Linked DNA regions of Drosophila melanogaster. The protein of the gene in region 1 interacts with the protein of each later gene in a pairwise test. Each region holds a gene or a part of one and is shown in the gene's direction. Other genes may lie near its edges.

The links. The genes of interacting proteins can lie anywhere in the genome.
Region 2: the proteins of CG5767 (region 1) and Cpr100A interact in a two-hybrid assay, tested with the Drosophila melanogaster proteins (one large-scale study listed by BioGRID).

The regions. Positions count from the first base shown.
Region 1 is NT_033778.4:18,045,724-18,049,573, reverse strand, and holds CG5767 (uncharacterized protein), read left to right. Parts: upstream 1-2,089; 5' UTR 2,090-2,131; coding exon 2,132-2,182; intron 2,183-2,246; coding exon 2,247-2,573; intron 2,574-2,754; coding exon 2,755-3,138; 3' UTR 3,139-3,188; downstream 3,189-3,850. Other genes in the region: CG14495 (uncharacterized protein), read left to right, coding at 1-245, 330-533; CG34005 (uncharacterized protein), read right to left, coding at 774-971, 1,028-1,351, 1,404-1,439.
Region 2 is NT_033777.3:30,865,540-30,869,905, forward strand, and holds Cpr100A (cuticular protein 100A), read left to right. Parts: upstream 1-1,981; 5' UTR 1,982-2,132; coding exon 2,133-2,144; intron 2,145-2,367; coding exon 2,368-2,615; intron 2,616-2,678; coding exon 2,679-3,144; 3' UTR 3,145-3,645; downstream 3,646-4,366.

The DNA.
Region 1 (3,850 bases):
CGGATCTCACGATAGACGAATGCCACGATGAGTTCACCATTGCCTGTGCCAACGCTTCACTGGTCTTCTCCGATTCCTACGATCTGTGCGAACTGAATGCCAATGAGACCATCATCAATCTAGAGGTCGATGTTGAACTGGAGCGACTCCAAATCGAGTTGGGATCCAGTGCGGTGTGCGGCAATATGCAAATCTGCGATACATTGGTTGACGATCTGGAGTACTTTCAGTGCATCAATAAGAACGTAAGTTTTTGAATTATGTTAAAGATGACTATTAAGTGTGTAGAGTTCGAAATTTTAAGTGCAAATTTAACCATTTGTTTTTAGGGAATCCATAACCTCGACATTCTGACCGAAATAAATTACAATGCCACAAGTGCTTACACACGACTTCACGAGGACTATGATGCAGTGCATCGGGCGCTTCTGCTTTGCGGCCTCGATGCCCAAAAAAAGTACATGGAGGACATAAGACAGGCCCACAGAGAACTCACTAAATGTCGATCCGAAATCGACGAGCTTAACGAGTAGTCGTCGCTTATCTGTCACTATACTAACAAAATGATTAAGGGTGAATAAACACCATCATATAAGCAGCTAAATCACTATAGTTTACCAAGAATTGATATTATTGGCTGATAAGAATAAAACTTTTAGGATTTGTTAATTGCCAGATCCATCTTAGATATATTAAGTCAGTATATATATATAACTTCCATAGTTAAGTTATATTATACATGGAAGTACAATAAATATTTATTAATGTTCAACTCAGTGTGTATCATTTTGCTGCAGACACTGATCCAAAGATCGAAAGATTGTATTGGTTCCTTTGACATAATTTTGTTCGGTTTGATTTGTGCAGCGATAGTGCTCCAATTCGATTCTACTTAATTTCTTATTTAGGATTAAAGCCTGCTCGGTGGCATTAAATGATATACTGTAGACATTCGCCAACTGTAACTTAGCCTAGGGGGGAAACTAAAAAGGTTAAGAAGGTTTCGAATCAACGCATAGCCACTCACCATTTTGGCAAAGCAGTTGAAAAAGTCCACGGCCTCCGTCAGGACCAAACACTGATCAATAAATGATGATATGCCCAGGGCAGCCTCTCGAATCTCCTCCTGAGCCTCAGTGGCATCCGTTAGCAAGGACAGCCGCTCGTTAATGGTAATCTTCTGACAGGCATTATATCCTTGCGACCAGGTAGCCCCTTCACTTTCCAGTTCCGGTAGGTAACGAGCAAAACACTTCTTGGTGTTGCCCAGACTCGAAACAGTTTCCTTTCCATCGTCTAAGTAAGAGCAAAATGAGTTTAGAGTTCGGGGAGAAGGCTCAGCAGCACATGCCTAGAAATGTAGTTGGAATTATTGAAAAATAACAATGATATTACTTCTTTACCCCAAGGGCTATAAGCAGAATGATAGCTGTTTTCATGGCACTGATGACCATAAAACACTGACGGAAATCGAAGCAAAATTTCCGCGTCAAGTTACCGAAAGTTGGTAATGTAATCGGACAGTGATGTATGGTTTGTTTATAGGCTTCTTATCGCTGGGGTTCGTCTGCAAATAACGATCCAGTAGCTCCCAAACTGTGCACTTCGATGATGAGTATAAAGTGTTGCATACTTTTAGCTAAAAGGAAAACTTCCGGCGAAAGTTGGTTGGTCTTTGCAATTAATTACGTCACTCGATAAAAAAATAGTAATGCGAAATGGTTCAATAGATATTGGGATGTATGAAACAATTGGTTACAGCAATCGACTCTGCGGATCGCAAAACCCCTAAGCTCCTAAATTACCTTTGATAAGTTCAAAGAACCGCAAGTTAGGCCTTCCGGTGGTTCCTGGCCACCTTATCTTCTGACTATCAGGTTTTGACCCTGAATACACGTGTGTGGCATCGAATGGGAATGCACATGCAAAGCAATTTGTGGGTCTGAGCATTACGCATACGCATTAATGCTACCTAATTGATCGACGGTGGGTAGTAGGAAAATATTCGCAAAAATATCATTTCGGGCAAACGGATCAATCATTCGCACCGCCGAACACGTATATAAAGGTTTTGTACCCCTTCCTTGGCAGCGACAGTAAAGATCGAGCCGCCAACAAAACGACCGCCAACATGAAGCTTCTGTGCAGTGTGCTAATCCTCGCCAGCGTTCTGGCGGCCAACGTAACAAATAATTTGATATTCGCCACCATTCCGGCAATAACCAGTTTGGCTTTCTCCTGAACAGGCCAAGCCCAATGTTCAGCTGCAGCTGCAGAGTGCCCTCGACCAGTATTTGGTGCATGCCCGCAATTTGGATACCACCGTTTCCGCTGATGTGACCACCCAGTGCTTCAACCTCTATCTGCCCATGCTGAACGAAGTGGCTGCCACCTTCTCCACTTCCTATCAGGCCTGCATCAGCACCGCCAACGCGGAGACCGCCAATCTGACCGCCGAGGCCGACAAGCAGCAGAAGATCTACCAGGCGGAGGTCACCAGCCTATGCAGCGCCTTCACCGCCTGCAACAGCGACAACGATACCACCAACTTCTTCAAGTGCTACGCCAATGCGGTGAGTTGAAGCTAAAGGATCTTCCGAATGATAGTTGTTAACATAGACTAGGGTTCAAGTAGTACTCATATGCCCCAACAAGTATAGGTAATTCGCATATGGTGAAAGGCCGGAGACTAGGTCAATTTTTTTAGACCTAATCTTAATGTGTTACAAAAAATGTATCGTTTTATTTCCTTAGGCCGAGAGTGATGTATCTGTGATCTATGGCATCGCCACCAATGCCGCCAGTTCGGCCAACTCCCTGAGCACAGGCATCCAGGCCATCCAGGACACCGAGTACCAGTGCACCAACACCACGGAGAGCAACTACGTCCGGGATACCGCTGCCACCTACGATCTGTTGGACAGCTGCCTGAAGTACGGAGTGCCCACCACCTCCACCGCCGCCCCCTCCTCCACCAGCCCCGTTGATAGCTCGAGCGGGGCTCCTGTCACTGATGGCACCACTGTTGTGGCATCGTCCACCGCCGCTGCTGACACCACTGTGGCTGTGACCACCGCTGCACCCGGAACCGCTGCTCCGGCGACCACCGCCACTTCCGGCACTTCGGCCTCTTCTTAAGTCACAACTTTAAGTAATCACAAGCAATAAATGAACATTTGAAAAAACGTTATGAAAGGTGTCCTTTAAACATTATTTAGGAACAGAAAAATTTATTTTATATGTCGAAATCATTATGTAAATTTAAAGGAACTCAATTAAACTTATTTGTTTAAATTTTTATTTTTCATTAAGTTATTATTAACACTTACATATTATTACTACCGTCACTCTCTCTCTCTTGAGATAGTTGGTAGCACATTAAGTACCTATAAAAAGTCAAATGAACTAGAAATCTTTTAAATAGTTGATTTACGAGCAAACAAGTTTTTACATATGGCATGTAAGAGTCATCATAATATATTTTACATATTTTAGCCGGATAAGAGTTTCATTTCATTTATTAAAAATATAGGATTTGATTACAACTGCTAACTTTATATTTTTTTTTTTTTTTTTTTTTTTTTTTTCATTATTACGATGATGTTTTTATTATTTGATCAACGCACTGTTACCCATGCGGCAACTTAATTTGATCTGCTTAAATTATTTTATTTTACAATGTGTCTTGGTTACTTAAGACTAACAGATTTTTAATCCTAAAAATGATAGGGAGAATTATAATAGTTGATATAACATAGTAATTATTATTTATTTGATTATTCTAATGAATTTTAAAACTAAGACTTTCTAGGTCAAAACCAGGTTAGGGAGGTCATGAGGGTGGTGGCTA
Region 2 (4,366 bases), on another chromosome or scaffold:
TTCGGGAGTACAGTGGCCGCTCGAGCATGACGGATTTAGTTACTTAACTAGATGAAATATTTTGAATTAATTAATAATAAAGTTGGAAATATAGATAATGCTATAGGAATAAAGAGAAAAGGATCTTTAAATATTTTAGATATAACTGTAGTTCCATTTCTATAGATATTTTAAGTAGAGGAAATTCTAGAATTTCTAGTTTCCGAGTGATCACTGTAGCTAGACCGTTTCAACCCTCCGATGGGCACACCCTCAAGCTAATCCGGCCATGCTCAACTGCTCGGCCTCACCTTGGATCCGCTGCTCTTGCCATCGCCTCCTTGCCATGGCGTTCGCACATCAAGTATATATTCCGGAACTATATGCCATAGCTGCAGTTTCCTGTTGTTGTTTGTCAACTGATTTAATTTCCTCCTCCTTTTACCGCTTTCTGCTCTGATCACCGCCTCCTGCTGCGAGAGGGCGTTCTCCGCTTTTGGCCACACAAACAAGACCGCCGGATAATGACGATGGTAATGATGATGGCGATGTTCAGACGATGGCGACTTGCAAAAGGGCAAATAACGGTGTAAATGAGAGTGTTGCTACTCGAAATCTTCGACCCCATGCGGCTACTTTGTGTGCAAGAGTGTGCCGCTGTGTGGAAATCGCTCATTAAAATATGAAAACCCGATTTGCATACATAAATGCTCTAATTCTCTTTACGTTCAATTTTAGGGCTTAAGAAAAATTCTTTAAAATTAAAATGAATATCGATATAGATAATGTAATGTTAATTTGACTCTAGATATAAAACTTCAAATAACCAAAGTTGGAGATGCAGACCTGTTTGCATTGTTAGATCATAAATAATGCCAAAAGTTCTCTGCAAACATTACGCAAAGTGGGGGGCGTGGGAGTGGGCGTGTGGCATGTGGGTGGGCGGCCAACTGCTTTGGCCATAAACAAGCCCAAACAATGCCAGACATTTCAAACACAATAAATAATTGAAGCCAGCGCAGAGTCAACAAGTCAAACACATTGCGGTAACACTGGCGATTGTTGCCAAGCGCTTTTGGCCACACCACAAAGTCCAGCTTTTCAGTCCGATCTAGATATAAATCAACTTGGCCATGCACATGCAGAACGCAAATCCAGCTAAAAGGCAAACAAACGGCTTTACAACTTTACAACTTGAAGAGGGGAGTGAAAAGTTAACAACGCTCATTTGGCGAATTTCCCAAGATATGTTCGGATTTTCAGCAGAGGGCGACCGCCCAGTTATCCATCACAATCGACAGTTTCCACGGGCTTTTCACACTGGAAAAATCAAAAAGACAATAAAGACGAGGCTTTTGCCAATTTCTTCCACAGGGTGTTGTAGTTACTTTCTATTTCTGTTTTTTAGCTTAGGCCAACATTATTGGCATACAATACTATTATTCAATCTATTTTATATCCCGTTTTATTTGTATTTTCCATACATTTTCCTTTTTTCCTACTCTTAAACTAAACTATTGCCATTAAAATTGCATCATGCTCTGCAGAACTAATTGGTAATTCCTGGTTTCGATAGATCCCCTCCCAGATGAGGATACCTCTGCGCTGAGGCTGGATTACAGCTGAAAAACTTTTGAAATAATTAAAAAATATTTTCGTCTTGGGCTTGGGCCTGGTGCAGGCAGAAACGGTGGAACTAAGTGCATATAGCATATATTCGTATATATAGAAAGCAAAAGTTGGCGCTCCAAGCGAAAGAGATCGAAACTGGTAAAACGACTTGGCAACACGACCGCGATACCAATACTCGCCCAAAGTTGACTTATTGGAGCACTTAGCTCGATTCTTGTTATTGTTACGCCGACTTGGCCGACTTGTTGTTGCCGTTAACGTTAATAGTACCAACACAATTACATAGCTTGGAGTGCCTAGGCGGAGTCGATCGGCGATCCAGCGATCCAAGGTTCCCGCTCGGACTATAAAAAGCTTGGGCGGCACCGTTGCGGAAGGCAGTTAACTCCACAAATCCGTTGCCGTCGGTCCCATTTCCCTCTTAACCGACTTGTAAGCGTAAAGGCGCGTGTGAATCCCCCTCGAGAAGAAGATAAAATTGTGTGCAGTTTACGCTTGACAAGGATATTCCCCACACCAAAATGTTCAGATTTGTGAGTTGTGTTTTATTCAAGGCTGTTCGAACAATTTAAAAGCTATTAAGAGAAAAGTAATCAAACTGACGGACAAAAGTGTCAATTCAAACCAGGATATTCTAGAGTACACATTAAATAGTGAAAGTCTTACCTTATAATACGTTAAGTGATAATGACTCAGATTAAGGAATTGGCAGCACACAAATACTTGATTGTACAATAAATTTTGAATTCTTGACAGCTTGCACTGACCACCTTGGTGGCCCTGGCTTCCAGCCAGCACTATCACCAGGATCCCAAAACGGCGGCCATCATCAGTGAGCAGCGTTATCTGTCCGGAGATGGAAAGTTCGGAGCTGCCTATGAGCAGGAGGATGGCATCAACTTCAAGGAGGAGACGGATGCGGATGGAACACGTCATGGCAGCTACAGCTATCTGGATCCCACGGGCCAGAGGCGTACTATTTCGTACACAGCTGGCAAAAATGGGTAAGCACTTTCTATAGAACAAATACCCGAACTTGTATTAATTTGGTTTTTATTCCGAAATAGTTTCCAAGCTTCTGGAGATCACTTGCCCCAGGCACCACCTGCTCCACCACAGCCCGTGCCCACAGCGGGATATCAGCCACAGCAGCAGTACCAGCCGCAGCAGTACCAGGCTCCCGCTCCCCAGCCGCAGGCCAGTTTCCGCAGCAATGACTACGGAGATGATGGTTCCTACGATCCCCGCTACAACGATCCCTCTTTCGGACAGAACCAGCAGAGCTACCAGCAGCCCGCTGCCCAGCCGCAGTACCGTCCTGCTCCCCAGCCCGCCTACAACCCACAGCCCGTGCAGCCGCAGCAGCAGTACCAGCCTCAGTATCAGCAGCCCCAACCCCAGTATCAGCAGCCGCAACCCCAGCAGGCGTACTACACCACCACCACCCCCAACCCACACCGCTTTTCGCCACCCGGCAAACTGTCCCTGAACCGCACGCCCGATGGCTTCACCTACTCCTTCAACAAGGTATAAGCCCCACTGTCCTCCACTCAGACATTATGCATCTTCTTCATTAGTAGGGATCCTCTTTCTTCTTTTCCAACTTTCCCTATCACAACTAGAACCCCTACTCTTTTCTTGACTCCATCAAACTCTCGTGTGATATGTTTAAGAGCAATTGTATCGTACTTCCTATATGCGTACTGTTTGTTATTAATTTATAATCCTACACAGAGAAAATTAATCGCTGCTGCCCAATGGGTATTGCTGATTTAAATTACAAAATATATTCAAAATATCATTTGCATATTTTTGAAATATGAAAAAACTCAAGAAATGTCGGCCTTTTTCTCTGTGACTTTCCCATTAAACTTTAATCTTTCCATTTAAGTCTTCCCAAGAAAAGAGAAGTCAATAAACTTCGATGATGTTGAAAAATGATCAAAATTAATTTAGAAACTATGTTAATTTGGGCCTTGGGACGTCTGAGCAATTTGTACTATAATCGAGTAAAAACAATATATGAAGGAAACCAAGTTCGTGTCCTGCAGTCTTTTGTTTTTCGGCCAGTGGCCGCTTATTTAATTTCCAGCAGATTTATCTAAACACCTCGGGTGGTGAACGCCCACTAAATGCGGCATTACACAACCGACTTTCGTACGTGCAAAACAAGTTTCGAGTTTCTGTTACGATTCTATGCGGCCAACAAGGAAAGACCTCAAACGGGTTTCGCTCATTTGACAGTAATCTTGGCCAATTGTGCAAAATTCCGATGAAAATGAAATCAGCCTGGTGTGCTGGTGCTGGCTAAGCCGGAAAACCATGTGCAAGTGGGGGTGGCACTGGTTCATTAGGGGATTGGGGCTCTAAATCAATTCCCAATGGTATTGCGATCCGTCAGGCTCCAGTTGCGTTAGTGCAACTTAATAACATCCAAATGTTTTGCATATTTTATGCACCATCGAACGCAAGAATGCCGCCAGCTAATTTGCTATTTCCTCTCACCTGCTGAGTTCTCAGCATATGTGTGTTATAGTTTACAACTTAATTCGAGCACCGATTGCTATTCTATTATTTAATTGCACTTATACCTATATATTTACTTCGGAAATAATAAATTAATTCAGGGCATGCTGAAATAATTGATTTCATTCAATATCTCTCAAAATCTATTCTAATTTGACTATATTTTATTCATGATTCCATTTTTACTTATTTTTTAAATATTTTTAGTGCTAGCATTTTATTGTTGTCT